Sus scrofa: one gene and its partners. Each later gene encodes a partner of the first gene's protein in a complex. Links are inferred from orthologs where the notes say so. Each region holds a gene or a part of one and is shown on either strand. Other genes may lie near its edges.

Evidence for each region.
Region 2: PPP4R2 (region 1) and PPP4C share a complex: the UniProt entries of both Homo sapiens proteins name them as parts of the PP4 complex. The link is inferred for Sus scrofa from reciprocal best matches to the Homo sapiens genes PPP4R2 and PPP4C.
Region 3: PPP4R2 (region 1) and PPP4R3B share a complex: the UniProt entries of both Homo sapiens proteins name them as parts of the PP4 complex. The link is inferred for Sus scrofa from reciprocal best matches to the Homo sapiens genes PPP4R2 and PPP4R3B.
Region 4: PPP4R2 (region 1) and PPP4R4 share a complex: the UniProt entries of both Homo sapiens proteins name them as parts of the PP4 complex. The link is inferred for Sus scrofa from reciprocal best matches to the Homo sapiens genes PPP4R2 and PPP4R4.

Annotation. Positions count from the first base shown.
Region 1 is NC_010455.5:54,353,068-54,361,088, forward strand, and holds part of PPP4R2 (serine/threonine-protein phosphatase 4 regulatory subunit 2), read left to right. Parts: intron 1-6,166; coding exon 6,167-6,337; intron 6,338-8,021. UniProt on the Homo sapiens protein: Regulatory subunit of serine/threonine-protein phosphatase 4 (PP4). May regulate the activity of PPP4C at centrosomal microtubule organizing centers.
Region 2 is NC_010445.4:18,258,921-18,267,438, forward strand, and holds the start of PPP4C (serine/threonine-protein phosphatase 4 catalytic subunit), read left to right. Parts: upstream 1-3,896; 5' UTR 3,897-4,014; intron 4,015-4,240; 5' UTR 4,241-4,306; coding exon 4,307-4,404; intron 4,405-8,518. Other genes in the region: ALDOA (fructose-bisphosphate aldolase A), read left to right, coding at 126-209, 328-502, 652-851, 944-1,039. UniProt on the Homo sapiens protein: Protein phosphatase that is involved in many processes such as microtubule organization at centrosomes, maturation of spliceosomal snRNPs, apoptosis, DNA repair, tumor necrosis factor (TNF)-alpha signaling, activation of c-Jun N-terminal kinase MAPK8, regulation of histone acetylation, DNA damage checkpoint signaling, NF-kappa-B activation and cell migration.
Region 3 is NC_010445.4:85,692,400-85,700,420, reverse strand, and holds part of PPP4R3B (serine/threonine-protein phosphatase 4 regulatory subunit 3B), read right to left. Parts: intron 5,335-8,021; coding exon 5,176-5,334; intron 3,967-5,175; coding exon 3,797-3,966; intron 658-3,796; coding exon 518-657; intron 138-517; coding exon 1-137. UniProt on the Homo sapiens protein: Regulatory subunit of serine/threonine-protein phosphatase 4 (PP4). May regulate the activity of PPP4C at centrosomal microtubule organizing centers.
Region 4 is NC_010449.5:115,486,079-115,494,099, reverse strand, and holds part of PPP4R4 (serine/threonine-protein phosphatase 4 regulatory subunit 4), read right to left. Parts: intron 7,792-8,021; coding exon 7,669-7,791; intron 6,154-7,668; coding exon 5,984-6,153; intron 5,660-5,983; coding exon 5,540-5,659; intron 3,219-5,539; coding exon 3,141-3,218; intron 1,835-3,140; coding exon 1,751-1,834; intron 1,138-1,750; coding exon 955-1,137; intron 1-954. UniProt on the Homo sapiens protein: Putative regulatory subunit of serine/threonine-protein phosphatase 4.

The DNA of each region.
Region 1 (8,021 bases):
GCAGGTATTGTCCCATTTTCGAATATGAGTTTCTGAGTAAGGAAATGTATGGCGTTTCAAAGATAATATTTAAATGGGAACAATTAGATAAATATTTTAGTGTCACTTAAACATTTATATAAAACAGCAACTTTTGTTTTTGTAGCAGTTGGTATGAGAACCCAAAAGTTATGTTCATAATTGTTATACAGAGTAACTTTACTTTTTGTATATTACCACGAGAGTAAGAAAAAGACAATTTTAAAGAGGCTGAGTAGGCAATGGTTTTTGTTTTGTCTTCTTTTCTTTTTTGGCTGCCCTACAGCCTATGGAGTTCTTGGGCCAAGGATCATATTCTAAGCTGCAGTTGCTACCTGAGCCGCAGCTGCATCAATGCCAGATCCTTAACCCACTGTGCCGGGCTGGGGTTCGAACCCTGCATGCCTGTGCTCCCAAGGTGCAACCGATCCCATTGTGCTATAGTGGGAACTCTAAGTGGGCGGCGGGTTTTAACTGGGGATACCTTTTGCCTCCAGTGAACATTTGGCAACATTTATAGACATTTTTTATTGTCAAAACTTGAAGGCGGCGGGTGTAGGTTGGTCACTGCTGACTTCTGATGGGTAGACATCAAGGATTACTGCTCACAGAGTTCCCATTGTGGCTCAGCGGTAACAAACCCAACTAAGTATCCATGACGATGTTGGTTTGATCCCTGGCCCTGCTCAGTGGGTTAAGGATCTCGCGTTGCGGTGAGCTTTGATGTAGGTCGCAGAAACGGCTCAGATCTGGCATTACTGTGGCTGTGGATTAGGCATTGGCTGTGGAGTAGGCTGGCTGCTGCAGTTCCAATTCGACCCCTAGCCTCGGATCCTCCATATGCTTCAATTGTGGCCCAAAAAATAATTTTAAAGGATTACTGCTCAACCATTTTACAATTCATTAGGATATCCCCTTTTGATGAGGAATTGTTGGGCTTACAGTGTCAGTGATGCTAAAATTGAGGAACTCTGGGGAGAGGGATTGCAAAAGACTTACTCAAACTGAAAAATGTCTTGTGGCCAGTAAACATAGGTAAAAAATCACTCGCTAGCAATCAATAAAAGACAAATTAAAGTGTTTTTCTACTGTTAAACATTTAAGTGTTTTGAAAGCATGCAGTTTTCAAAATAGGTTTTTCTATATTGACAGCACTGTAAATTGATGGAGTGTTTCTCAGGGACTTTTGAAATATGTATCTAAAATGTTTATATTTTGTACTTTTGACTTGGTAATTCCACTTGATTGGAATCTGTCCAAGATAATAAACAGATGCCTATGTTGGAAATTAAGATAACTCTGGCTCAGGTTGTCAGTGAGACATGTGGACAAGGAGAAATTTCGACAAGGCTCTTTACTTCGGCAGAAGGGCACGGGTACTCCAAAAAGCATGCACTCAGAACAAAGGACTCTCCCTTATTTATCCCTAACACAGGTGATTTACCTGTCCCCTTCCCATTGGTCAGGTCAGGGCGCACACTCTTCCCGGTTGGCCTGAAACAAATTGTTGCTGGGAAAAGAGGTAAAGAAGAAAGGGGTCGTAGGGGGTGTTTCAGCCGAAACCAGAGCAAAATGGAGTAACCAAGATTTCCTTTGATAGAAAAGACATGTTACTTTCCACACCTACAAAGTTTGTTACTGGGATTTTAACCATAGTTATTTTTAACTGTAATGTGCTGGAAGCAAACCTAGATTCTTTTAAAAAATAAATATTGGTGAAAAAATGGAGTAAAAATGTACTTTAGTAATGATTACTGGGCACATTATGGACAGTTTTCATTTTGTTTCTGTCTTTCTGTGTTATATAAATTTTTCCAGTGACTATCCTATTTATGGAATCAGAAGAAGGGAAGACAGACCAGACGTCTTTTTAATTTTTAAACTCTAGTAAAATTTTGTAGTAGTTTTGTCATTTCTCAAAATATTTATTGAAAAGTCTGTGCATATAGCAAGTTCCCATTTATGCGTGGGCCTGTTTCTGGGCTGTCTCTTCCACTGATATATTTTAATATTTGCTCAATAAAGTATAATATATATACTTTGTAATTAGGCAAAAGGAATGCTCTTTAGATTGGGCCCCACTCGTAGAGGTTTTCTGAACTAGTAATTTGTATTTTTATAGTTCATGAAAATGTCATGATTTTGTGTAAGCAGTTGTGTTCTTATTTTTGCTCTTCTTTCGCTCATGTAATTCAATATTTAGATTAAATATACTTGTCTTTGTTTGCTTCATTCAGAAAGTTAAGGCTGAATTCTTTGACACTTTGTGTCCTGATTCAAAGTCTGTCACTGTGTGTCAATGACTGCCCATTAAATTTCCTTTGTTTTCTTTCATTTGTCTTTTTCCATATTCCCCTTTGCTTACAAGTGGTACAGTATGTGCTGTTCCTTGGAGGTAATTACAGCACTCCCATGTTCTCTTTTGTTAGCTTTCCACACAGATTTTGGGTGGAAACAGGCTAAATAGGGAGTAATCTTAGTAGAATTTGGAACTGTAAGAGGCAGCAAGTTAGGATGTGACTTGATACTTCCCCCTAAAATGTTCTAGAACTGGCTAGGAAATAACAGTTGGATTTTGCTCTTGAACCTGTGAAAAAATACCTTTAACCTGAGCATTGTCAGGGAAATATGTTCGTTTTAGTATAGACTTGTGAGTTCCTTTGGAAGAAAAAGGTCATTGTGGTGTTGGTAGGAGGATATATTTATCTGAGTTGTTTTGCCTTTCTAGAGGAAAAGCTGCATAAAGGGAAAGTGGAAGGGAAAGAGAAGAAGAGGGAGTTGAAGTTACTTAAAAAAATTAATGGATAATGAATTTCATTAAATACTTAATTCTAGCCAAGTAGATTTAAATTCTGAGTATGTATTTTATCTTGGGAGGAAATTTTTATGTGAAAGAATTGATTCTCAAGTTGAATATGTGTTTATGTTTCATGAGCATCTGTTTAGAGTAATTTATTTTCATTTGAAAAATAAGGGTTTTTTTGTTTGTTTTTTAGCTTTTTATGCAATGAGTACATTACTAGGAAAATTATTTTTGTTGCCAAATTTTTAGTTGATTTATTCATGGCGTGGTTTTGTGCTCAAATTACATAATTTCCAGTGATGCATTTTCTGCTTTTGTTTTTATCAGATGGTTGTGTTGCATCAAAATGCATTCTTCCATTTTTTCCACACGTATTTTTTCTATTGTATATGGCACAGTAACTTTTGAATTGCATCTCAGATCTGATTTAGGATAACTTTACCTGATACATTCGAAACTTAAAATACAAGTTGTACGTAATTGATTTTATGGCATTTAATTCCTGACTGATCTAGAGTCTTTGATGCTCCTCATAGTTTTGCTTTACCTACTAGTTTCCTTCACTTCTCCTCTCCCTATTCCTATTAATATGTTGTTGATGTTTGGATGTCATGGGTAGATTTGCCAACAGTTAATGGGAAGATGGGTTAGAAAACTGTGTGTGTATGGAAATTCTAATTCGTGAAACAGGTTATGACTAAGTGGGTGATTGTTAAAACTACAGGAAGAATTCTTAATTTAAGAAATGAAAAGTTTAAGACTCCTATTTCAGTAACCTTACCTGGTGTGTTTAAGTATTAGTTAAATGTCTGTAGGGAGTGTAGTGAAATTTAAAGATTAAATTTTAGTAATCACTGACAGTAGTATAGTACACAGAAATTAATATTAGGCAAGTCAAAAATTACAATGTGCCACCTCCTGATTGTTAAACCTCAAATTCTCCTTCCCAGAAAAAAACTTGGGAAAGGAGGGAAAAGGTAATCATATAAATAGCTTTAAATAATGACCCTGAATGAATTTTTTAAATAATAATAAAATTTACCTGCCATGTAATTCACTCATTTAACAGAGTGGAGTTGTCAGGTTACATATCAGCTCTGTTTAACTTTTTGAGAAGCTGCCAAGCTAAACTTTTCCAAAATGGCTACACCATTTTGCATTTCCATCCATGTATAGGTTTCCACTTGACCTTCATCCTCTCTAGCACTTGTTATTGTATTGTCTATCATTTTTATTATAACAGCCTTAGTGGGTGAGAAATGCTATCTTGTGATTTTGATGAGTACTGGCTAATAATGTTAAGAATCTTTGTGTGCTTATTGGCTATTTATCTGTCTTCTGAAACTCTGCAACTCATTAAACAATAACCTCTTACCCATTCCTTTTCCAAGCCCCTGACAAATGCCCTTCTGCTGTCTCTCTGAATTTGACTATTCTAGATTACCTCTGACAAGTGGAATCAAAATATTTATTCTTTTGTGTCTGGTTTACTTCGAGGGTTTAGCATAATGTATTCAAGATTCTTTGTTGTAGTATGTGTCAGAATTTCCTTCTTTAAGGCCGTATTTCATTTTACATATATATTGTACATTTTGTTTATACATTTGGGTAGTTCCTACCGTTGCGTATAAGTGAATTTCGTGCGATTGAGTTTCTGTTTTCACATTTTTGGAGTGTCCAGAAATGGAATTGCTGAATCATTCGGTAAATTCTTTAATTTTTTTTTTTTTTTTTTTTTTTTTTTTTTTTTTTAAGGAGGACCCACCATACTGTTTTCCGTAGTGTCCTCACCATTTTATATTCCCACAAGCAATGAATAAGGGTTTCTTTACATACTACTGGGCAGTGGTTGTTATTTTATGTGTGTGTTTAAAATAGTTAATGTAATGGATGTGAATGAAGTTCTATCTTCCTGTGATTTTGATGTTCATTTCCCAAATGATTAACATTTAATCTTTCCATTTGCTTGTTGGCCATTTGTAGATCTTTAAAGAAATGCCTGTTAATATACTTTGCCCGTTTTTATATAAGTTGGTTTGGTTTTTTGCTGATGAGTTGTGGGAGTTCTATATATATCCTGAATATTTACACTCTACCAGATGGATGATTTGCAGATAGTTTCTCCCATTCTGTGGGTTGCCTTTTCACTCTTTCTGATAGTGTCCCTTTGATGCACAAGGTTTTTTTTTGTTTGTTTTGTTTGTTTTTATGACCACACCTGAAGCATATGGAAGTTCCCAGGCTAGGGGCTCAATTGGAGCTGCAGCTGAGGCCAGCCATGGCAACACTGGATCCAAGCCACACAAGAAGGTAATCACTACCAGTATTGTTTGGTATTGCTGCCTTGATTTGTGCAAGTATCGTCCGTTTTACTCACTGCTGTTTTTGCACCAATCATCGTTGCAGATGTCAACTCAGTGAATAAGTTATCTCTATTCTTAGGGAGATAGCTTTGACCTCTTGGGCCACACTTAGAGAATTGCTGCCTTAGTTTATAGGGTTGCTGGATGGAATGGAAGAGTGACTATGGAGTAGTAGTCTTATCTTGCCTGAGTAGTCTCTTGTCTAAGATGTTTGGAGAAATGGTTGCCATTCCTCACTCTTGTATTTCCTGTAATTTAGGCTATTCAGGCTGGTATCAGCATAAAATTTCCTTATATTAGTGGTAGAATGTGAGGGGACCGGGATAAAAAGATGTTAAATTCATGAATAGATATGGAATGTACATAATGTATTATGTATTTTTACTTTGCAAGATACATTTTGGATAGAACCCTATGATAAATACTTTTTAAATGACAAAATATTTAAAAAATTAGTTGAAAGCAAAAGAAAAAGGAGAAATTAAAGGGTTTTTTTTTTGGTACTTATCAGATACAAGACAAGAAATATTTACTAGTCTTATAAGCATTATGGCTTGGATGATAACAACTTGAGGTATGGAGTCATTCTGATTTGTCCAGTTAAAATTATCACTGTAAAGTTGGCCTAGTTTCTAGTAACCTACTTTAAAATGGGGGCAGTAACACCTCCCTGGTTAGGTTTTTATGAGGAACAGAGTCAAAATAATGTTTTAAAAATGTGAAGAATGGGACTTAGACAATAAGCTTTAATTGAGAAATAGTTAATTTTAAAGATTTTAAGCTGAGATTTAGATTTTGTTTGGGTCGGGAGTAGGGAGAATTTAGAAGGAACCAAGTTGGAGTGTGTGAGTCATATTGATCAGGCCTGGTACAGGATACTGAAGAAACACACTCCCACTACTCCTTGTCCAAATCTTAAGCTGTATTTGTGCTTTGTGTTCAAGCTACATGGTATTACATTTTCAAAATTTTTTACTTATAGGATTCAGTGGTCCCAATTTAAAGGCTATTTTATTTTCAAACTGGAGAAAGTGATGGATGATTTCAGAACTTCAGCTCCTGAACCAAGAGGTCCTCCTAACCCTAATGTCGAATATATTCCTTTTGATGAAATGAAGGAAAGAATACTGAAAATTGTCACTGGATTTAATGGGTATGCATTTAATTCTACTTTTAAAGGTTTAATTTTTAGCTGAACAGTGATTGTTCTCTTAGTTCTGATGTGTCTGGTTCTTTAATAACTGATTATCCATTAGAATAAATTCTGTCTCTTGTGGTATATATAGTAGTTACTGATTTCCAGCTTACATATATTTAAAATAGTTACACCTTTTTTTTTTGAAACTCGAATCATCTTTATATGGTTTTGTGGCATTTTAGATTTTAAATGTGTATGACAGTGGAAATGATATCAGGAAATATTTAAAAATTTTTCTTTCCATTTTTTACTTAATGTTATAAATTTTTATACTTTGTCTAGAACCTGTTTAACATTGAGATAAGTAACATTTCTTTTAAAATGAAAAATAACAATTTATGGAAGAATTCAGCTTAGTGACTTTTTATTTTAAAATATTTTTTGGAGTCCTTTTTTTCCCCTCAGTAAGTAACCATTTTAGCCCTTTGTAAAACATGGCTCTGGAAAGTTACTCTTCACTGAAATGAAACTGACCTTTAAATGGCTGTGTGTCATACTCTATGTTGTTTTAAATATTTCTCTTTTTAGGACTTTGTATTTTTACGGTTTCCTTCATTGAAGGAACGAAGTATTTGTAAAGTTGAATTGTTCAGTATTTAGATTGTTATTAACAATTTGGGTGGTGACAATACCTAATCTGATGTATTGTGTCTATGTTAACCATGAATTCATATTTACGGTCAATTTTTATTTGAAGGGATTTCATTTGTATTTTTAGGTAGCATAAATGCTTTTGTTTTTTTCTTCAGATACTTAATGACATGGGATTTTGCAACAAGATAGTGTAATTCAGATAACCTTTTTGCTGTATGTACTGTTCCCCACTTTTAAGTTTGTTTGGTTTAAAATATCAAATCCTTAAGCTTTGGTTTTAGGTATTGTTGCCAAAATACTTTTCTTTTGGGAGAAATTAAAGCTTTATCTTTGAGCTGCCCTTGGGGATTTGGAATTGGAGGGAGACTTACTTTCACTGTCTACCCTGTTGTATTATTGAACATCATTTAATTGTATGCATATATTTACTTATAAGTACTAATTTTTTTTTAAAGCCCATACCCAGATGAAGCCACATGCTATGTATTAGAAATATGTAAGATTTACTGTTGAAATGAATGTGCCTAAGAGTACCTCTTGGGTGTTTTTTTAAGGGCCTCACCTGAGGCACATAGATGTTCCCAGGCTAGGGACTGAATCGGAGCTGTAGCTGCTGGCCTGCACCACAGCCACAGCAACGCTAAGCTGCCTCTGCCACCTACACCATAGTTCAGGGCAGCACTGGATCCTTAACCCACTGAGGGAGGCCAGGGATTGAACCCGCTTCCTCATGGATACTAGTCACATTTGTTTCTGCTGAGCCACTATGGGAACTCCGGGGATATTGTTAAATAGTGCAGAAGCAGATAGGTAGTACTTAGATATTATAGGAACTCATCTTTTATTTCAATGAATTATGGCTATCATTTTAAAATAAGAGTTACAGTGAAACAGGTCAGATTATACCACTACTTTGTGAGTGTGAAGCTACTTTACTTGTTCTGAATTAGTAATACTGTTTTCACTTCTTTCAAATTAAGCTGGATGAAACACAGATATATGGGTATTAAATAAATTAAATATTTGTAATTTCTTAATTTCTGAA
Region 2 (8,518 bases), on another chromosome or scaffold:
GACATCAGCCGTGAAGCCAGGAGTCTGTCATCATGCAGATAGGATCTTGGCCAGTGGCTGCAGAGAGCTGTAGCTGGGGCTCTGGGATAGGAGGCCTCACAGCTCCCCGGTCCTTCACCCCACAGAATGGCATTGTGCCCATCGTGGAGCCCGAGATCCTCCCCGATGGGGACCATGACTTGAAACGCTGTCAGTATGTAACCGAGAAGGTAGGGTGCCTGTCTACCTGGCCAGTGGGGTGGGCTGGGGAGCTGGGCCCAGGGCCCCGAGTCTGACCCCTGTCCCCCGACTCCACCTCCCTCTCCCTCTGGTCCCCCACTGCTCTAGGTGCTGGCTGCTGTCTACAAGGCTCTGAGCGACCACCACATCTACCTGGAAGGCACCTTGCTGAAGCCCAATATGGTAACCCCAGGCCACGCCTGCACCCAGAAATATTCTCACGAGGAGATTGCCATGGCAACTGTCACGGCGCTGCGCCGCACAGTGCCCCCCGCTGTCCCTGGTGAGACCCACACCCTCATCTTGACCTCTGGGAGGTCGAGGAACTCGACCCCTCGTCCCTGTGTTCACGCGGTCGGATTCCCAGCCCAGCGTCTAGGGCCTCTGCCAGCCCCCTGGGTCTCTGACCACAGCCCTCCCCTTGGTCTGCAGGGATCACCTTCCTCTCCGGAGGCCAGAGCGAGGAGGAGGCCTCCATCAACCTCAACGCCATCAACAAGTGCCCCCTGCTGAAGCCGTGGGCCCTGACCTTCTCTTACGGCCGAGCCCTGCAGGCCTCGGCCCTGAAGGCCTGGGGCGGAAAGAAGGAAAACCTGAAGGCCGCCCAGGAAGAATATGTCAAGCGAGCCCTGGTAAGGCTGGGGCAGGAGGTGGGCAGGGCGCTGGGCTGGACAGGGTTCAGAGAAGGGACCTTCTTCTCACTCTGGTTCCTCTCCCCTCTTAGGCCAACAGCCTTGCCTGCCAAGGAAAGTACACCCCGAGCGGTAAGGCGGGGGCTGCCGCCAGCGAGTCCCTCTTCATCTCTAACCATGCCTACTAAGCGGGGAGGTGCTGAGGCTGCCCCCTCAACACGCCAGGCCCCGCCCCCTCCCACCCTCCCTCTCCAAGAGAGGGGGCCTCGGGGGCTCCAGGCCGCCCTTTCCCAACACTTTTGCCTCCCTCGTGACACTGGTGCCTGGTGTTGTCTGTATACGCTAACTCCATCACCCTCTCGAGCCTACTGCCAATAAACAGCCATTGAAGGGGGAGTGTGGTGACCTTGTCTGTGGTGTTTGGGGCAGGGGAGGGCTGGCAGAGGTGGCAGAAGACACAGCCCTTGCTTTATGTTCCTCTGGCTGGGGCAGAAAACCAGGAGATGGGATAGCATATACTCTGTTCAATACCTGCCCAGGGCTTCAAGAGAAGAGCTTGGGAATTTTCTTCCCACCACCAAGTGCTCTGCTTCTTCCACCGGCAGCCCCTGATACAAGGCTTCCAGGTGGGGAGTGCACGTGTAACTGCTGGTCTTAGGAGGCTGCAGCTTTAGCCTCAGTTTTAGGCCCAGAACCCACAGGTACAGAGAAGGGGGGCCCTGTGACCAAAAAAACAGCCACTGACAAAAACTAAGATTTCCTGAATCTGCAAGGCAGGCTTAACATAAGCATCCAATAGGAGTAGGTGCTGTCACTCCCAATTCGTCCTTAAGGTGATCGCGCCAGAGATCCTAACTGTCTCTTGGTGAAAACGAGGTTATGAATGCATTTCTCCTTAATCTACCTCACTGCTGACCTGTGAGTCTTCCCATCTTAATAGGAGATGGGATTAGAACTGGCTTCTTAGACTCTGGGCTGTGGAATCCCTTGAAGAATCTGGAATTGGGAGTCTCCCGGTGGCTCAGCGGATTAAGGACCCAGCGTTGTCACTGCTGTGGTGTGGGTTCAGTCCCTGGCTGGGAGGTTCCGCCTGCCACAGATGAGGCCAAAAACCAAAAAAACAAAACCCTGGAATCTTTCCACACACCCTCCTCAACAATGCACATCCACACTCGAGCTGATTCCCAGTTGAGAACTGAACCTCTGTGGCTCCTGCATTCCATGAAGTCAGAATGAGGGCCCTGTGCCATGAGTTGAACCCTTCCCATTTCCCCAGGCTGGGGGAATATTAAAGATCCTTGTCATAACCAGGGGCCTACCTAGTCCTGCCACCTCCCAAATCTCCTAAAATGGACCCTTTCCTGCTGAGATCCGCTGGAGAGAGAGGAAAAACAACATGATTTCTGTACCTACTGAATCCCTATAGTCATCTGCATAGAAACCTGGAAACTTCTAGGAGTTTAAGAACTTGGTTTTTCCTTCTCTCTGTACATTCCCATTTGTTGCCTACATCCAGAACCAAATTTTTACCTAGTGCCTCTCCAAACTATGGTCTCACTTCTGCACCTAGCCTCACTCAATTCCGTGAAACAAAGTCTGAAGCAAACAGAAATAGAGGCTCTAGGAGTTCCATTATGGCACAGTGGTTAAAGAATCCGACTGGGAACCATGGGGTTGTGGGTTCCATCCCTGGCCTTGCTCAGTGGGTTGAGGATCCGGCGTTGCCATGAGCTGTGGTGTAGGTCGCAGACGCAGCTCCGATCCTGCATTGCTGTGGTTCTGGCGTGGCCGGTGGCTACAGCTCCAGTTAGACGCCTAGCCTGGGAATCTCCATATGCCACAGGAGCGGCCCTAAAAAAGGCAAAAAGACTAGGAAAAAAAAGAAAAGAAAAAGAGAGGGCCCATAGAAGACAATAAAAGACATTCCAAAAGGGCTCTGACACCAAGAGGTTTGTTTCAAGACAAATCGCTTCCTCTGCCTGCAGCAAGAGACTAAAGAAGCAGAGGACTTTAAATGTCAGTTTGGAGTGTTTTATAAAGTTTATAATGACAAAGTGAGCATCAGAAAGTGTGACAGAAGAGACCAGACCTTGAGGACACAGCTTTCCTAGGTTAAAACATCAACCTTGACCCAAGCCCAGAATTATTAGCTATGTAACTGTGGAAGTTAATCTCTTTTAGCCAGTTTCCTTTTTTTGTTGTTGTTTTTTTGAGGGCTGCACCCACAGCATATGGAAGTTCCTAGGCTAGGGACTGAATCTGCCTGCCACAGCCACAGCCACACAAGATCTGAGCTGCGTCTGCAATCTAGCAACCTGCATCACAGCTCACAGCAAGAGAGATCCTTAACCCACTGAGCGAGGCCAGGGATGGAACCCTTCACCTCATGCATACTAGTCGGGTTCCGTACCCCTGAGCCACAACCGGAACACCAGTTTCCTCCTTCTTTTTAAAGGAATAAAACTGCAGACAAGAGCAGGGGTGAGGGGTGTCAAAGAGACCTTTCTGGAACCAGGGAAGTCAGGTTGACTGAGGTATAAGCTTGTTGTGGGGAAGGTGGACTCCTTTCTGACTCTAACTTCAGAGGTCCTCCATCGGAGAGATGTCTCTTGGGCCTTGGAAAGAGATTTGGACTGGGAGTCTTTCGCCCATCCAACAAAGAGTTCTGTATGCCAACTGTGCCAGGCCATGTTCTAAGTGAGAACTGGGGCTGCAAGTGTGAACAGGACAAAATTCCATCTCTCAGGGACTGTAATGGGGGAGGCCGACTAAAACAGGTAAACAGAAACGTGTACGCTGAAGTTACAACGCGGAACGCCGACTCAGTTCCAGTTTCCTTCACTGACACGGTAATGTGGAGCGGATGTGGAGTCCGTCACCGCCCTCACAGCGCCAATCCGCTCAGCCCACAATCACTTCCGCTCGCACATTGCAGACATCCGGTTCTTCCGGCTCATTTGCATTCCTAGGCTTGAGGGGGTGGGGTAAGGGCGCGGCTTGGGAGGGGGGCGTGTGTATGACGCCACATCCGGCGCGCGGCGGAACTGGTGTTCCTCTGCTTCCGCGGCGGGGCCGGAAGTAGAAGCGGAGGTGGCGGCGGCCCAAAGCGGAGGGAAAGAGGAAGACAGGGAGCACGAAAACCGGAGCCGGAGTCGCTGCGTCGGTAATAGTCGGAGACCCTTCTAGGCCACCGTCCCTGGCGCGGGACCTCAGGGTTCGACGGGAGTTAGCGGAGGGCGGCCCGGGCTGTGGGACGCTGGGGGCCCCGGGGCCTATGTGAGGGGAGGCGGGAGTTGGGGGGGCCGGGCCAGCTCCAGAACCGAGTTGCCCCCCCCGACCCGGCGCCCCTTAAGGACACTGATCCGCGGCTTCTCCTTGGCCTTTCCCAGGAGACCCCTGTGCGGTGCGGAGGGGGCTACGGCCCCGGCTCTGACCCGCTCCGGGGCGGGTGGGCCATGGCGGAGATCAGCGATCTGGACCGGCAGATCGAGCAGCTGCGGCGCTGCGAGCTCATCAAGGAGAGCGAAGTCAAGGCCCTGTGCGCAAAGGCCAGGTGAGCCCGGGAAGAGAGGCTTCAGCCACTGATCAGAGGCCGGAAGCTTGGGGCAAATCCAGCTGAGAACTTTGGGCCTGGCTCATCCTGGAAGCTTTCCCAGAGAGGAGCGAATAGGGCCACTTCCCTCGAGGAGCAGCCGGGCCTGTTGGGGGAAGACAGACCTGGATTCAAATATCTGAAGTATTAGATGATGTGTTTTCAGTGGAGTTGGAATTACAGAAAGTACTTAGGAAGCTTAGGGAAACAACCTTGTCTGTCTGGGGGGGAACAGAGAACGTTTCTTGGAGGAACTGAACTTTGGGTTAGGCCTTGAAGAATAAGATGATAAAAGGGAATGTCAGCAAGAAGATTTGGTTTACAGTATTCTTTTTTTTTTTTTGGCTTTTTAGGGCCGCACCTGTGGCACTTAGAGGTTCCCAGGCTAGGGGCTGAATCAGAGCTTCAGCTGCTGGCCTACGCCACCAGCCACAGCAATAGCAATGAGGGATCCTTAACCCACTGAGTGAGTCCAGGGATCAAACCCACAACATCTTGGCTCCTAGTCGAATTTGTTTCCGCTGTGCCACAACGGGAACTCCTACAGTATTGTTTTAATCCCAGTAACAACCCAAAAAGGTGTGTGGAATTGTCTTCATCTCACAGGTGAGGATGCTTACATTCAGGAGTAAGGGGTAAAGCCTGAAGCGAGTTCTCCATGTCCTGTCCATTTTCAGGCCATCATGCAAGAAAGTGGAGTTGGATCACACTCATACTCCTTGTGGGAGCCTATGAAATAGAAGCAGATAAGCCAGAGTAGAATTAAGCAAGATCTGAAGGGAAGCCTAGCTTAGAGTTCTGTGGGAAGTAGGATGATGTAGTGGTTAAGAGCCAGGCTTTGGAATGTGGCTCTAGGTTGGAATCAGCTCTGCCACTTCCTAGCTGTGTTGGTGATCTTGAGGTCTGTGAGACTCGGGTTCTTCCTATTTAAAGTGGGGATTCTAGAACTTAATGAGGTGGCTGTGAAGAGTAAGGGATGCGCTTAGCATAGGCTTTGGTAAACTGTAAGTGCTCGATGTTTGTTGGGTGTTACTGTTCTTCCTTTGTAGGAAGAGGGCAGTGCTGATGTGGACTGAAGTCCTTAGTGAAGGCTTGAAAGAGAAGTTGGCCTGGAAAGATGGATAATTTGGGCAGCTGAGTGGGCAGGCCTAGTAGGAAGGGCATTCCAAGCAGGCTGAGAATAGGAGTGGAAGGTGTTCCCTGGGGGCTCAGCGGGATCCAGCATTGTCACTGCTGCAGCTCAGGTTACAGCTGTGGCACTGGTTCAATCCCTGACCCAGAAACTTCTACCTGCCAAAGGCATGGCCAAAAAAAAAAAAAAAAAAAAAAGTGGAGCTCTGGGTTGTGTGGGCAGTGGTGACAAGACGACAAGACCCATTACCTGCCTCCTGAGGAACTATTTGTGGTTTCCACCACGCTGGAGAATTGCAGAAACAGAGCCAGCAGAATTACCCCCACATTTGTGACCAATAGGCCACTGTTAGCACCTGAAAGAACTTTATATCCACTTCCTTCCCACAGCAATGCTGTGAGGTTGGAAATATTTGCCCCATTTTACAGAGCAGGAAGCTGTGACGTCTTGAAGCCTGGGGACTTGACCAAGGCTTCCCCGCAAGAAGGTGGCAGAGCTGGCTGGCCGTTGGGCTCTTTGCTTGGCTTTGCCCCACACAGACCTGTCACAGCCACACAGGGCCTGCATGGGTTTGGTGAACAGGCAAGGCTCCCTTTTAAACGCTGTTCTGTGGCTCTTCATGTTTTGCCAGCTCAAAAATATTTCCTTGACCAGACCAGCCCCAAGATGTTTTTAGTCATCCCTCAATCTCTCTCTGTTTGTTTGTTTGGGTTTTTTTTGTCGTTGTTTTTTTAGGTCCGTACCCATGGCATATGGAGGTTCCCAGGCTAGGGGTCCAATCAGAGCTACAGCTGCCGGCCTACATCACAGCCACAGCAACTGGGGATCCGAGCCGCATCTGCAACCTACACCACAGTTCATGGCAACACCGGATCCTTAACCCACTGAGCGAGGCCAGGGATCGAACCCGAATCATCATGGATACTAGCTGGGTTTGTTGGCACTGAGCCACAATGGGAACTCCCATCCCTCAGTCTTGATTGGCATTTTTAGGAACTTAAACCCATTTCTGGCTGGCACTCTTCTTTTCCTCAAAGTCTTCTGCCTCCCACAGGGCCTGGATCAGTGTGGTGGTGATGACAGCTAATGCTTGGGTAGCATAGTGGAATTTTCAGAATAGCAGAAGTTAGGTGTTCAGCCTCCATTGCTTTTTGCAGCCTGTGGAACAGGCAGGCAGTGGTGAGTGTTTCACAGAAGAGGAAACTGAGCCTCAGAGAAGAGGTCTTGCCCCCGGTCTTACAGCTCCTTGGAGGGGAGGCTGGTTTTGGATTCAGGTCTTTGACTGGACTCCACACTCACTGACAGCCAGGTAGACATTTAGACTGTGAGAGGCAGCAGGGAGCTACTGAGGGATGTGGGGTCCTGCCCAGATGAAAGCGAGGTGGAGCTTGGAGGTCCAAGCCTCAGGCCTGGGGTGGCCACTGCTGTTCCAGGCCCAGTCTGGAGGAGGACCAACTCTAGCACCTGGCAGTAGGTCTAGCACCTGGGGACCCACCAGGGGCCAGGCTGAGGCTGGTAGTGTCAGTCACTTCAGCTTGCTCAGACGTCATGGAGACTCAGGTCCTTGGAATCACAGAGGCCCAAAGCACATGAGCTCAACTTGCTCCTATTGAAAACATCACATCAAGAGTTCCTGTCATGGCTCAGTGGTCACAAACTCGACTAGCATCCGTGAGGATGCGGGTTCGATCCCTGGTCTCACTCAGTGGGTTAAGGATCCGGCGTTGCCATGAGCTGTGGTGTAGGTTACAGACGTTGCTGTGATCCTGTGTGGCTGTGGCTGTGGTGTAGGCTGGCAGCTGCAGCTCTGATTTGACCCCTGGCCTGGGAACTTCTGTATGCCGCAGGCATAGCCCTAAAAAGCAAAATCAAACGAAATCACATCACATAGCAGAGGGTTTTGAATCAGGTGTTTTTCAGTAGGAATCCTGTGTTGTCACCTATAAACAGTGTGACCTGAGTCAGGTCACTGTACCTCTTCAAGTCTTTGAAATCCTTACAGAGCTCAGATGAGCTTCTGCATATGCAGGCCCAGGGCCTGGTGCCCTGGCCCAAGCAGATTCCTGCCCCACCTCCCGCCTCAGGCCCTCCCCAGGCTCCTTGTCCCTGTTGCACTGATTCCGAAGCCACTGGCCTGCTGCCACACACACGGGATATGTGTAATCTAGCTCCCTCCTGCTGGGCGGCGTTGTGGAGTGAAGGGTGAGCCCTGGGCACTGGTGATGTGCCACCAGTGACAGGGTTGGGGACCTGGAGTCTGGAAGGGACTGGTACAAAATCTTAGGATACTAGGTCCCTGAGCTCCAGTTCAGCCACGCTTCCGCTTTGTCACCTTGATCCTGCCCCTTCTATTCTAAACCTCGGTTTCTTCTGCAGTTGGAGAGGTCATTGTGAGAAGCGGGTGTGGGAGTTTCCTATGTGGCTCGGCAGGACACGAACCCCACTAGTACCCACGAGGCTGTGGGTTCGATCTCTGGTCTCACTCAGTGGGTTAAGGATCTGGCGTTGCCATGAGCTGCGGTGTCGGTCTCAGACATGGCTGATCCTGTGTGGCTGTGGCTGTGGTGTAGGCTGGCAGTTGCAGCTCTGATTCACCCCTAGCCAGGGAACCTCCATATGCCGAGGGCATGGCGCTAAAAAGAAAAATAAACAAATCGTTGGTGTGGAAGGATGTCGAGCACAAGATGCGTTGCAGGTTGGAGAGCCTGGTTGCTGTTGGCCCCTCGGGCCCCCACCAGCGCCTCCTGCCATTCCGGGAAGCCCAGGCACGCCTTCCTGGAGCCACTTTTGTCATACGAGGCACCCCGAGCCCAGGGAGCTGCTGGCCTTATGGGAGAGGACTGGGAGAGGAGGGAGGGCTGAGCGGGTGCCTCCCACGTCAGACTAGCTTGATAAGGGCCAGACCTCGCGCAGGCTGCTTGGTTCGAGTCCCGCTTCTGTCAC
Region 3 (8,021 bases), on another chromosome or scaffold:
CAGGTTTAGATTTTTCCACTGATGCCACAACTGGTTTTCCTTCCTCCTCTTCATCTTCATTAAACCACATTTCTTCATCCTCTTCCAAGGTCTTTGCATCTCTGCGAAATCTGTTACTACGCAATATAGATGGTACACTGTAAGAAATATATTACAAATATTGAGTATGATTTAAAATTCCTGACCAGATTAAATTTGAGAAAAAATATGTATAACCAAGAGGGGCTGAAGTAATTTTAACTGAGTATAACATATCATAATCAGCTCACTTGTGATATAAGATGTAACCAGAGAATAGTCCAAGGATGTTTGTACATTAATTCAAAAATTTATCTTGAGTAATGATATGGAGCAGTAATTTTTCACATAAAAATTCAGGGCAGGGAGAATATCCTACCCTCCTACACAACCCTGTTCTAACTAATGATGCAAAGAAATGTCCTGGGTAAATTTCATAGGTAAGATCAAATTACACATGATTTTGGACACAATTTTACAGGCTATAAATAAACATTACCTGTTCAGTTTCTGATTTTGTCTGTCTTTTTCTTGCTCATATTTAGTCTTCAATCCTTTGAATGTCTGAACATATTCAATCGATTCAAGTGCTTTATAAAAGTTTTCAACTATATGTGCAGTAAGAGACTTGATATCTTCCTGTATAAGCACAAAATTTATATTTCACATGTAATACAATGCTTCTTAGAAGAAAAACTTAAAAAAAACTTTTATAGTTTCAAACCTTTTGCAAAAAAGGTTTTTCAGAATCACCTTCCAAAAATAAATACCCTAGTTTCTGTATACAATGAGCCAGGACCACACAGTAAACTTGGAAAAAAGGAGAAGCAATTGACTGAAGCCCTTTTGGGACTATAAAGAATATTTGAAAAGTAAATGGATTTAGTTTATGTCACCTATTTTTTGCATTTACATAATAGCACTTTACAATTTAAATAGCACTCTAAGGAATTCCCGTCGTGGTTTAGCAGAAACAAATCTGACTAGTATCCATGAGGACACAGGTTTGATCCCCGGCCTCCCTAAGTGGGTCAAGGATCTAGTGTTGCTGTGAGCTGTGGTGTAAGGTCGCAGATGCAGCTCGGATCTGGCATTGCTGTGACTACAGTGGAGGCCAGCGGCTACAGCTCCAATTCGACCTGTAGCTGGGGAACCTCCATATGCCATGGATGTAGCCCTAAAAAGGCCAAAAAAATAATTAATTGAAAAAAAGCACTTTAGGAGTTCCCATAGTGGCTCAGCAGTTAGTGAACCTGACTTGCATCCATGAGGACGTGGGTTTGATCTCTGGACTTGCTCAGTGGGTTAAGGATCTAGCACTGTCATGAGATATGGTGTAAGTCGCAGATGCAGCTTGGATCCTGGATTGCTGTGGCTCTGGAGTATGCCTGAGGCTACAGTTCCAACTGGACTCCTAGCCTGGGAACCTCCATATGCTACGGGTGCAGCCCTAAAAGACAAAAAAAAAAAAAAACCCAAAAAACAAAAACCCACTTTAAAACATTTTTACTTGATCCTCATAACAACTCTATGAGATAGGTTTTATTCTCCCCATTTTACAGAATGAGAAAATTGAGGCTATAAGAAAGAATGGATGGCTTGATGAAGACTGCATGGCTACTTAGGAAGGACATGTTGAAATCATATTCTCAGTGAACACTGAAAGGTATTACTAAATGACTTCGTTCCACTATCAAAACGGGATATGCCTTACCTAAAAAACAGATTCCTCCAACTGCAGCACACTGTAGACACATATGTATGAGATAAAATAATTTGAACTTCTCTCGTATGTTTTTACAGTTCTCTAGTGGTATCATTTTTGTGAACTAAACCAAAAGTAATAACTTCTAAATTATTCTAAATGAACCATTTTAAGTGATCACTGCAGATGCATGGGTACAAAGCTAGCTCATTATTAAAAATAATTAAGCTCTGATTTTTAGGATTTAATATTAGTAAGAAATATACACATCACTTCTTTAAGAGAAAGACCATATCTGGCTGCAGTGACGACTTACACGTCTTTAAACTAGTTCCTCAGCACACCTCAATCAAAAAATACGCAAAGGAGAAAAATTAGAAACCTAGGTAAAATGGTTGTGTGTTGTAAACTGAAACACAAACAGATAAACTGAGTTTTTGGATTCAATGTACATTTATCAATCACTCAAAGTTATTTTCAGAAAAACAAATTCAATCAAAAATTAGGGATGGGGCTGTGAACCCTAAAATTCATTTTATCAGCATCTCACCAAGATTTTTAAAGGGAAAAAAAATATATAAGTTCATCTTTAACTTATAGAATAATACACTGTGAACCTGGGTTCAAACACTTGGTGAACTTGTTAACTATGTTGCTTTTTTTTTCTAAGGCTAAGGCTAGTACTTCTATCCTCGTCATCCTTTTTGCAAACCATACTCTTAGCAAATGACTACTTTAAAAAAAACCAAAAAAACAAAAAACAATCCAGTCAGCCAAATAACCTTTGCAAGAGAATAGCGTCATTCATCAGTACAAATCTGATTTCTAAGAAAGAAAACTAGACAATGAATTTCTAGTTTTGACCTTTTTTTTCAAGTTCTTTTTAAACCATGTGGCCATGTCCCCCAGTGGAATCATTTCAGCATGTGGGAGAGGGTAAATTTACTGTACTGGTTCTTCAGTTATTTGTCTTATCCCTGTTATTCATATAGAGCTCTCTCCAGATCTTTTTATGATAAATCTTCTGTTGTCTGAGACTGAGCTGTACCTTAGCATTCAGGCCTGACTGTGCTCCCAACCAAATGAATGCCCTTGAATAGGTCAGCCAAAACCACTCTGGGTGTCTCAAACCCTTCATGAATGAAATAAGGCAGCCGGAATAGTCTACCTAACTTCCTGGTCTCTTTAACTTCAAATTCCATGATAACATCCTACCCTCTTATGCATCTTGTATCAATGTCTACCAAGGGAATTATTTTTCAACCTTTCTACTCAATTGTTTTTTTTTTTTTTTTTTTTTTGTCTTTTCAGGGCCACACATGTTGCATATGGAGGTTCCCAGGCCAGGAGTCGAAGTATCTATCTATCTATCTATCGATCTATCTATCCTCATAGATACTAGTCAATCTATCTATCCTCATAGATACTAGTTGGGTTCATTTCTGCTGAGCCACAAGGTGAACTCCTCTATTCATTTTTTTTTTTTTGTCTTTTTTAAGGGCCACACACATGGCATATGGAGGTTCCCAGGCTAGGAATCCAATTGGAGCTGTGGCTGTGGTGTAGGCCAGCAACCTCATGGTTCCTAACGGATTACCCTTATGACAGGACACAGTGATCACATGAATGGCATGCTTGACTGCCATGGTCACATATGCTAAATACCCTAAAACTTTTGGCCAAAACAAATGAAACTGAAAAGAATATAGAGTAAAATAAATATGGTTTAAAATATTATGCTGAATTTCACAATTAACATATTTCCTTCATGGCTCAGCAGTAACAAATCCAATTAGTATCCACAGGACATGGGTTCAATCCCTGGCCTCACTCAGCGGGTTAAGAATCCGGCATTGCTGTGAGCTGTGGTGTGTGCTGCAGACGTGGCTTGGATTTGGTGTTGCTGTAGCTGTGGTGTAGGCTAGCAGTAATAGCTCTGATTTGACACCTAACCTGGCAACTTCCATATGCCGTGAGTGCGGCCCTAAAAAGTCAAAAAATAAAAATAAAATATTAATATCACTAAACATATAATTATTTTAATTTACTAAGAATCTTTTAATATAAACTTACCACTCTTATAAATTCAAATAACTCAATAACAGCTGAATTCAAGAGATTGTACCGAGTTCCATTATCCAGAAGAGCATTTATAACTGGCTCAAAAAGATTTCCCTTGGTGATGTAACGATTATAAAATTCATCTTTAAGGCCAATTATCCGCCTCATAAAACGAAGAGCACCTAATTAAAAATACCATAAGGAATTAGTTGATAATCCCACCAATATTAATTATTACACAGGTATTTTTACAAAAAGCAATGTTTATGTTCTTCTAAAGTAAAAGCCAAACTGTACTAGGCTTTGAGATAAACGGAATTACAGAAAGACCACTCAAAACTTGTACACTTATGTAGAGAGCTAACAAAACTCCCAATAATTGGTAGGCTGACAGTTCCAAGGAAGAGATTAAAAAATACCCCAAAACCATACAATGCAAATGCTGGTACTCCTTAGAGTAGTGCTGGTGGATGCACAGACAATGCAGTGAATGCAGCTCAAAATCAGAATGGGGTTTGTCATTAAGGGGGGGGGACAACTATATTAGAATATAAAATAAAAATTAACTTAAAAAATGTTGCTCAGCTATGTTTAAGAAAAATATTAAAAATGTTACTTCACATTGTATCCAACAACTTCAAGTACTATTCAGGGGCTGAGATTTGTGTGTTCTGATCCTGTTTCTATCTACACATATGTAAATCTGTATAGGTATGGAAAAATGAAAAGAAATATACAGGCAGTTAAGAACAGCTACCGTAAGGCCTTAAAAATATAGGAAGTAGTAGGGAGACTAATTTTTTTTCTATACATTAAATGTTTAAATTTGTAATTATGATTTTTATGCTCAGAAAAAACCCCACAAAGCTTTTTTTTTTTTTTTAATTTGGAAAGAGAAGGTTTATCTCTAATCAGCAGGTGAAATTATGAAGAATAAGTTTATAGTCTGCAAAAAATCAACACGTGAGCAAATATCAGCATTTAAGTTTGATTTTCAGTGGTCCAAGTGGTCCCCATAAGTTCAAATAAATAACCTGAGTTACCACATATACATTTCAAGACCCATATCTCAAAAATATAAATGGCAATTTGATGAAGCAGTTATAAAAGACAGCAGGAGTGGTTCTATTAGAGATGTCATTGCACATGGTATTATATCAAAACAGTTAAGCTAACTGAATCTAAATGTTAACAATATGTGAGTGGTAAAACACTATGACCACTTGTCCTTTAAATAAAACAAAATATTAGTACTTCTCACAATCACCTCTTTAACAGTATATGCACTGCTATAAAAAAATACTTACATGGGTAACTTAGGTTTCTCTTTCTATTAAAAATGTTGTTCCACAAAACATTTTACAAGAGTGTACATTTAAATTGTTACTTACACAAGGCCAAGAAGGTGTGCTTTGAATTCATCAAGACCAAGACTCTTCTTAGCAAGTCTTTGTTCATAATATAGTTTTTTATGTGATATGTGTGATGTTCCACACAAAATGTGAGTAGCTCTAAAATTAAGGCAAGCAGCTGTGCTGTTTGATAATTATCTACAAAGAAAGTCATCATATGAAAATAAACATCGCAATACATCTAAACAATGAGAATGAAGCATATATCCTATCTTTCAGAGCAAAAGTAAAATTGTATTTCCTCTCTATTTTTATATCAAGAAGCTACAAATTTTAATTTTTTCATTAGGTAGACTCTCTAGAAGTATTAGCAGTTTTACCCACCAAATAGACATTGTCTTTCCTTTTTTTTTTTTTTTTTTGTCTTTTTGAAGGCCGCACCAGCGGCATATAGAGGTTCCCAGGCTAGGGGTCAAATTGCAGCTGCAGGTGCCAGCCCATGCCACAGTCACAGCCACATGGGATCTGAGTCGCATCTGCAACCTATACCACAGCTCACAACAACACTGGATCCTTAACGCACTGAGCAAGGCCAGGGATCAAACCTGTGTCCTTATGGATACTAGTCGGGTTCATTAACCACACAGCCATGATGGGAACTCCATAAATAGATATGTTCTAAGGCTCCTATATAAAATATTTAATAATGTTAAGAGGAAAAAAGACTCAATAAAAATCTATAAACATGGTAATAAAACCCTCACTGCATTGAGATATTCTTGGTAATGTTTTCTGAACATGTGCTGTCATTATTATTAATGGATCTATAAAAGAATCCACTCCATAGGAAAGAGGAAATACCTTAAACTTTTTGCTTAAAGTGGGGTACGACAAATTTCCCAAGAAAAATTAAAATGCCTTCTTTAAAAATATCTTTGGAGTTCCCATTGTGGCTCAGTGGTTAACGAATCCGACTAGGAACCATGAGGTTGCAGGTTTGATCCCTGGCCTCGCTCAGTGGGTTAAGGATCTGGTGTTGCCGTGAGCTGTGGTATAGGTTGCAGACATTGCTCGGATCTGGTGTAGGCCGGCGGCAACAGCTCCGATTAGACCCCTAGTCTGGGAACCTCCACATGCCGCGGGTGCGGTCCTAGAAAAGACAGAAAGACAATAAATAAATAAATAAAAATAAAAATATCTTTAAAGCAAGGATGTTTTTGGCTGTTTGAAAATCAACTGAAAATTATATCAAGATTTTTAAACAATAATCTTCCTTACATCAAATCATCATCTCCATGAAACGCTTACTGAAATACATCAGCTTTGTTCTTCCTCAAGAGGCTTTGGTTTATACATTCATGGAATGATTTAAAAGTGCTTCTTGAACATCAAAATTTAATATATGTCGAGAGTTCCCGTCGTGGCTCAGTGGTTAGCAAATCTGCCTAGGAACCAAGAGGTTGTGGGTTCGATCCCTGCCTCGCTCAGTGGGTTAAGGATCTGGCGTTGCTGTGAGCTGTGGTGTAGGTTGCATATGCAGCTCAGATCCGACGTTGCTGTGGCTGTGGAACAGGCACGCAGCTACAGCTCCGATTGGACCCCTAGCCTGGGAATCTCCATATGCTGTGGGTGCGGCCCTAAAAAGGACAAAAAGACAAAAAAAAAAAAAAAATTTAGTGTATGTCAAGAGCTTATGTGGGTAATTACACACATCTATTATAAATATCTTGAGCAAGAAAATATCAAGCTGTGAAGAAATTATGGAATCATAGCCTAACAGAATAGAAAAAAATAATGGACATCATCTAGTCCAGCTATTTCATTTTTCAAGAAAACCAGACACAAAAATTTTGTGGAATATCATGTAAGTTATAAATCAGCATTCTTTTTATTTTTATTTTTTCAGGGCTGTACTTGTGGCGTATAGAAGTTCCCAGGCTAAGGGTTGAATCAAAGCTGCAGCTGCTGGCCTACGCCACAGCAACATGGGATCTGAGCAATGTCTGTGACCTCTACTATAGCTCATGGCAATGCTGGATCCTTCACCCACTGAGGGAGGACAGGGATAGAACCTGTATCCTCTTGGATACTAGTTGGGTTCTTAGACTGCTGAGCTACAACGGGAACTCCAAGTCAGAATTCTTTTAAATAACATAATGACCATCAGGTATACAAAATATAAAAATTCTGATATTTTAAAGATCTTTTCTGCTTTAAAGGTAAGTAAAGAGTTTTACTTGCTTCAGATCAATTTGTATAACAGGCATCACCACAGCCAATAAACTAATTCCTCACCATTAAAAACAAATTCTCTTAATTCTTAATTCTCGAATTTTATTTACGAAAGGCTTTGTAATAGTGATCTGTAGTGTTAATTAAAAGTCTTGTTTTCACTTTCCTATATTAGGACATGAAATTACTCATTATATCTTTATTAACCCAATCTCTGAACTGTTTGCTTATTTGAACCTGGCTTTCCTAGCTAGATTTTTGATGAGCGTGGTAGGAAAGACAGGATGCTATGTACACACAACATATTTTTCATACTAATATACCTAATATGCATGTTCCATGTAGAAGCAAGTGTTTACACTCAGATTCATGAACAATACCTAAGCATAAGACTACTATGAAGGCTAATTCCTAACCAATTTGCCATAGCTTACTAGATTTAAAAATAAGAATGGGGAGTTCCCTTCGTGGCGCAGTGGTTAACGAATCCAACTAGGAACCATGAGGTTACGGGTTCAATCCCTGGCCTTGCTCAGTGGGTTAAGGATCTGGCGTTGCCGTGAGCTGTGGTGTAGGTCGCAGATGTGGCTCGGATCCTGTGCTGCTGTGGCTCTGGCGTAGGCCAGTGGCTACAGCTCCGATTTGACCCCTAG
Region 4 (8,021 bases), on another chromosome or scaffold:
CACACAGCAGACACTCAAATAACCAACTGCTGAGTAAAATAAGAAATTCTACTTTCACGTGAAAATTTTTATGTGGTACAGTCACGCGTTATCCTCTGTTAAGAAAGTTATTTTTGTCAATACTATTTTAAGATTATTTCATCTATAAAATAACTTCCAAGCCCCAGGCTTTGCTTTGATGCATGAAACAAACTTCATGAAGAGGTGTTAATTCATAAGATAGGTGCTTTTTCTTTTTTTTAAAGTTGTCACACCTGTAATGTCATTTTTTCTCCTTTTAATCTTTGAAGCTAAAACTGATTTTGAGTTTTTGAGATGGATCGTATATTTCATTATTAATAGTCGCTAAAACACACACATTATGCAGAACTCTTATATTTCAAAAAATGGTAGCAGGATGCCATATTCAGTGTACAGTGAAGTGCAGGTTAAACAATCCTCTGGAAATTTTTATGAAAAAAGTAGACAACTGACTCTATGGGGACATTTGAGTACAAGTCTTTTCTCCCCACCCCCCTGCTTTTGATTTTAATTTTGAGGTTATCCATAGTTGGGCATTCACATTTTTGTATAACTTTTCTGTTACCAGCTACTGTTTAGGAACGATACTAAACCAAACTAACATTAAGGGGCTTGAAGGGATACCCCTAAGGCAAAAGGGCCTCGCTGAGCCATGACCATGAAATGTGCACATCAGAACAGAAGGCACCCTGCACTTGAGATCACTGCCTCCCGCCCATCTCTCCCCCGCACTGAAGCGTGTTGACACCCTCCCTGTGCACCTCTCCCTCCCCGCCTCCAGGTGGAAGCTGATCAGAAGGAGCAGCAAAGCTAACACTCCTCCAAGGCAGAAGGGCATGAACGGAGTTCGTTGCTGTACTTCAAGACAGTGGAGAATTTGCTTAATTCCAAAACAGTTCAAGAGAAAAATCAGATAAAAGGTATTGGGCTCACATTTGTCATCATGATTGTGAACATTCTCTGCAAGAAACGATAATAAATCTGATCACTTGATATGACGTGTGGGAGACAGGCATATTTCTGGAGCAGCTTCTCATGAGTTCTCCACTTCAAAGAGGCTGCAGCTCGCTGCTCAGCTGCTGTGAGAGCCGGAATCAAGTCAGGCAGGGATGATAACTGAAGACGAAAACACATCAAGAGAATCCAAGATAATTAAGTAAGTCAGCTGCAGCACTCAGCCAGACTCTTCACTCTTAAACACACTGGCGAGGGAAAAGCTCTTGCTCATTTCTGAACTTAGGAGGCATCTCAGTTGTAACAGGGAGGTAATCGTTTAGTGAAATCAAATACTTTAAAAAAAAAACAACCTACAGGTAAAATTTGTGATTACTGGAAACAAAATTTTGAAGGAGACTGGGAGTCACAATCCCTCTAATTAAAGTAAACTTTGCTATTTCACTGTCAGCAAACTTGGACCTTCTCAATTCCTAACTTTTTGTCCTCATGGGTTGCTGCTCTTGGAATAAGAATTAATGCTAATAAAAATGGAAAAATAATGAGAATAAACCCGAGGGACAATAAGTAATGATTGTGGTCATTAACGTGAGAAAAATAGAGGAAATTCAAGCTGTTCAAACTCCAATAGACATTTACCAACCACCTTTTACTATGTACTAAGCACGATCTTAAATGGTTTTCATACCATTCTTTCCACTGATTTCTCACAACAACTCTGTAAAGTAAGGTAACCATATGACATCCAGAAACTTTTTTGATAGATAGGATTTACCTTATTTTCTTGAACACTGCTTTCTCCACCAGTGGACATAAGTTCCAGAATTTCTGGAAGATGATCTATGAGAGCATCTAGTACCTTTTAATAGAGATATTGATTACCCTTCTTGTGATGGCTATGTTTCCCTAATCTTAGATCAATTAACTAACTTTACATGTCAATTTCTACAGAGAAGTAGTGTTATTTACCAAACGGCATTTTGGGGGTTTCTGTTTTCTTGCTCTATCATCTTCTTGCTGGAAAGTCTTAGAAACATACTACCCTTGATCAAACCACCTTTGAAAGGAGATTAGTGTGTCTGCCTCTTGATATTATTCAAAGAGTGTCAAACAACAACCTCAAAAATGCCTCCCAACTTTTGAAAAGCAGTTGAAGTCAGATGACACCCTCAATGATGTCTAATGTTGAAGCGTTGAGATTTGGCAAGTGAGTAGGCATTTAGGTAAACATGATATACTAAAAATAGCATCAAAATTAAGTATTTCAGGAGTTCCCGTCGTGGCGCAGTGGTTAATGAATCCAACTTGGAACCCTGCCCTTGCTCAGTGGGTTAACGATCCGGCGTTGCCGTGAGCTGTGGTGTAGGTTGCAGATGCGGCTTGGATCCCGTGTTGCTGTGGCTCTGGTATAGGCCGGCGGCTACAGCTCCCATTAGACCCCTAGCCTGGGAACCTCCATATGCCACGGGAGCGGCCCAAGAAATGGCAAAAAGACAAAAAAAAAAAATTAAGTATTTCAGGAGTTCCCATTGTGACCCAGCATGTCAAGAACCTGATATAGCATCTGTGAGGACGTGGGTTTATCCGTGGCCTCACTCAGTGGGTTAAGGACCTGGCGTTGCTGCAAGCTATGGTGTAGGTCTCAGATGCAGCTCGGATCTGGCGTTGCTGTGGGTGTGGGTTAGGCCTGCAGCTGCAACTTCAATTCAACCCCTGGCCTAGGAACTTTCCAGTTCAAAGCCTCCAGAAACATACTTCCCGAACAATGCTAAAAGAAATAAAAACACATAAAATATGATATATGATTAAAATTGTGTAAAATTTTAAAAAACTTTATATAGAAAAGATAGAAAATGAAAAAATATAAAAATATAAACAGTGATTAGAACTAAAGGCACTCTTTTGTGTGTCTACTTTTTGGCATTTCTAAAATTTTCCTTAACAAATATATAAATATATGTTAAACCTAGTATTTAAAAAATATCTTCCCTATTTCCAGTCTATGATAAAGTGGTACATTGATTTCAAGCTTCTGGGGCTAGTCAGCTCTTAGAGTTCATGCAATTCCCCCCCAAAAAAAAAGAAAGAAAGAAAAAAAGGAAAATGGCACTGATATATTCAGACATAACATAAAAGAAGTAAAAGCCAGAGTAAGAAGATATTACCTCCAGTGATTCATCTTGTAATAATGTTATTAGTTCTTTATGTATTAAATATACTCCAGAATTCAGAAGTTTAGACACCTAAAATACAGCAATAAAGTCTCTCAGAGTTGAGACTACTAGACATATGAAGGTTATAATAACGATGAAAAAAATAATCTCTATTAAATTTTCTTCTAAGATAAGATTTGGTTACAACATAATGTAAAATTCGATTTCTAGAAGAATAACCAGCTTTTTAGTCTGCTTCCTGACATGTTGGGGTCTGTGGACACAGAGGGTGGGAAGAGTGCAGAGGGCGGGAGTCGGGGGGCGGTTAGCCAGTCATCACTTTCCTATCACAAGCGATAATAAGCCCATGGATGCCTCTAATTCATATTTTAAAGTCTTAGAGCAGCCACCGGAGTCTTATAAAGAAGCCCAGCCACATAAGCATTCATCCCAGTGCAGAGCTCCAGAGAGGGCAAGTTCTACGGCAGGCCAGCAGCCACACAGGGATAGAGAAAACTCCCAAGCAAGCAAAACATCTAAGACTTCTCCCATCAAGGACTTCAAGGAGCAAGAGAGGAGTGGGGAGGGTCCAGCCTAATCCAGCTCCTTTGTGAACTGTTTTTTGTGAACTGTTTATTGTCTTTGTTTGTTTTGTGTCCTCCAGATAAGCAATGGTAACGAATATACAATGGTACATTCACCAGTTACTTTAAATACATATATATATTTTTTTACATACTGAGTTTCTGAGTAAGGTTTATTTGAAAAAGGGGGTCCTAAGGTAAATAAGGTATTTTAAAAACCTTTGTTCTACAGGATTGTTTTGACTTGAAAGTATTTTCACAATATATTTTTTTTTCTAAAAAAAAAAAAAAGAATAAACTCAGAATATACTAAAGTAAGTATCAGAATCTACCAATAACCCTGGGACATTTAAATCAACCAGTGTATTTTCATTATTTAAAAGGACAAACCTAACCTAACCATTCATTTACGGAGTAAAGTATCATTTTAACCTACCTACATGGTAGGATAATACGTAAGAATACATAAGAATACAGAAACTAGCCATGCAGAAAATAGCTAGATTGATGATTTCCAAACTCATTTCTATTAGTGAAATATTTTTGTATACATATTTCAATATGTTTATTTCTATGGTGCTAACATATTATGTCCAATATAAAACATAACAATAAAAGGACGAGATAAAAATGACCACAAATAGAAACTCATATTGCATAAATATTGCTTTCTCATACTCTATCTCGTGCAACCAGCTCTGGCGACCACTGGTCTAGACAAATACAAGCATGCATGGTAACCAAGCCTAAATGCCTGCTCAATACATAAAGGAGAGACGCAGTTCACTCAGCCAGCCAGTGTCCTCTGGCCTCTCCTCCTCCAAAAGCACATTCTTATACATATATTTACAAAGGTGACGTAACTGTTCAACCCTGAATTATTTTAATTAATTATACCATTTAAAGGGACTATTTCCAAGATTTTGCACAATGAATAATGTCATTTCACTCGCACCAGAAAAAATGTTATTCAAAAGAAGCAAAGACTATCAGCCAACAGCCAAAAGTGTCTTAAGCAACATTTCTAATGCTGCTAACCTAACAGTGCTGTGATGTAGGAACACAGCACAGGGAAGGGGATGAAATATTCTTACTGAGAATAAGAATATTTAACATACCTTATAAAGGAAGGAAATATTTTATTAAGCCACTTAGATATTTTTATGTGACAGTCTTGAAGTTGACAAGTTATAGTTCATACATGTTGACTGCAATTACAGCATACATGTTGACTGCAATTACAGCATACATGTAACTTAACTGCAATCACTCAAGAAACAGGCCCCGAATTTCAGCCTCGGGAGTTAAAAAGTTAATTACATTCATCATAAAATTTAAATTCACTTTTGCTCTCACACTATGGACAGTTGTAACAGCTGAATCGAAAGGCTATGCTCGTGATCCGTTTGCTGTAAAAACTGTAAATTTAAATAAACAATCTCCCTCTCAATTTTCCATTTGTTTCAAGTTCCTAAGTTTAGGTGCAAAGTTAAATATAAACATGATAAAGCATATTAAAACTTGTTTTACGTCCAAATCTGCAACAACAGCCACATCCACACCATGTCTGGCTTAGTAGAGATATACTGAATGAATTAATACATGATAAATGAATATAATCCATGTAAATGAATTCTGAAAACATTCTAAACAGAATGATGGGAATGATTTTAAATTTAGGACTAGAATATGAAAGAGATATGGAGCCTATATCTTTTAACCTGTAAACAGAAATGAACGAAACATCAAAAAACCATCTTCTATACATAGGTAGACATAACAACAACTAACAACAAATGTAAAGTGGTATCACTTTTTCAGACTTACTTCATAAAAGCAAATAGCGATAGTGTATCTGACTGGTACTTCGGGGTCGTGGCAAAGGCAGAAGAATGTAGAATAGAGTTCCATGTGGAAGTTTTTAGGATCCACAAAAACAATCATGGCCTGGGCAAGTGGCAGGGAGATGAGAGGAAGGAGAGGAAAACATGCATCAATACCTAATAGCATCATCGTTTCACTTAAACTGAAACCATGTCCTCTGAATAATTTAGTTAGAAATCATATCCAGAAGATTCAAGGGCATGCATAAATTCCAATGTATACCTAGAGATTCATACAAATTATACCAACATTTACTCAGCACCTACGGAGTAGGTACACCAGATATAATGCCAAGTACTAAGTGTCAAATATTTTTAATGCTATCTATTCACATATTTCTAAGTTATAATCAAAATGTTTATCCAATACAAATATATACTTTATTACCGGAAAGTTATAAGCACAGTTCTTCCGTACTGAAATATATTTCTTCTCCTGCTCTAAGATTTGGGGTGAAATCTGGTTTTCATTGTGTCCATTTTCTTGTTGCAAACCCAATGTACAAAGTTTCTTATAAAACTCCAAAAATCTCAAGTGTTGATCTGGAGTGAAAATTCCTAAAATAAATGTAAAACCTTTGTTCAACATTTCAATTGAAAATAAAAATTAAAAAGAGAGAAAGCAAAGTGCAATAAAAACATAATTGGAAACAAAATTTAAATAAATGGTTAGAAATTATAAATAAAAGCAACACTGAAGAAAGTATTGTGAAGAAATTTAACAGGTCTTCAGCCTCATTTTTCATTTTAATTTCAATAGTATAAACAATGCCACACAAGAATTAGGCCTGTATTAGTTTCTGTATCATGAACCACAGTATGTACCACTAACAAGTTACTACGTAATAATATAGGGCCATTACTGCTATTTACTTATGGTAAATATTCTAAAGTTGCCTACAAAAAAGACATGCACTTATGGTCTACAGAAAAGGAGCTTAAAAACTGAATCTGAAAGATGGCAAAGTAAACTCAAAATATTTTTTGTCTTTTTTTTTTTGCCTTTTCACGGGCTGCTCCTGTGGCATATGGAGGTTCCCAGGCTAGGGGTTTAACCTGATCTGTAGCCACCAGAGCCACAGCAACGTGGGATCCAAGCCGAGTCTGCGACCTACACCACACCTCACAGCAACGTCAGATCCTTAACCCACTGAGCAAGGCCAGGGACCAAAGCTACAACCTCATGGTTCCTAGTCAGATTCGTTAACCACTGACGGGAACTTCTCAAAATATTTTTGATGGAAAAAAATTTTTTGATCAATGGACTAGTTCCATATTCATATACTCTCTTAGGGAACTAGGAACTCATCAGGTATTGCACCACTTTTTTTTGTTGTTGTTTTGTTTTGTTTTGTTTTTCTAGGGCCACACCCACAGCATATGGAGGTTCCCAGGCTAGGGGTCTAATCGGAGCTGTAGCCATGGGCCTACACCACAGTCATAGCAACACCGGATCCTTAACCCACTAAGTGAGGCCAGGGATCGAACCCGCAAACCTCATGGTTCCTAGTCGGATTCATTAACCAGTGAGCCATGATGGGAACTCCACGTATTGCACTACTTCTTTTCAACAGCCTAAAAAAGTCTAACAATCCACATAAAAATGTTTTACTATGCTAAGTTGTTACATAATTAATGCTTGCATTATTTTAGTAAGTTAGAAACTGAGTAATATGTTCAAAATGCCAAGAGTTACAGGTACTATTTTATTTTCTAAGCTTAACTACTCATGATATGCTAATTATTCAACAAATAATAAGGACATACTTATTATGCACCAATAGTTAATACACATCACTTTTGTTATCATATACAAACTAATACATACACAAAATATTCAGAAATGTAAAGGGCTATGCCTACCTCACTCTGTCATTATTTGTTCATATAAGTTCTACTAGTGAAAAAGTCATTTCTGTGTTCAAAATCATGCTATTAAAATTCTAGAATCTCTTTTAAGATTTTACACACTTAAAGGGTAGGTTTTACAACTGAAAAGCTGAAGTTTAGTGGCTAAGATTAAAAAAGGGGAGAAATTATCTATAATCTTGAAATTCTTAGGATATACCATACCATACAGCCCATGGCACAGTTTTCCCAAATGGAAAGATAAGGAAATAAGAATTGATTCATCTGCTTTGAAAGATTTTTCGCAAAATGATTTCACCAAGGGAAGTATAGTTTGACTTCTGTCATCTGGAAAACAAAGAACAAAATATACTTTGGATCCAGTTGCCAACACTACATGTGTGGAAATTAATGCACATACAAAAATTCCAGAGAGAAAAATTACTGTGTTCGTCTGAGAGTAACAGAAAATACATCTGAAAACAATGATGATGGAGGAATGACATAAAGAAGAGGTGAGAGGAGCGTGCAGGCTGAGGGCTCTGGACCTGACACAATGGGCTACAGGGAACAGCCTA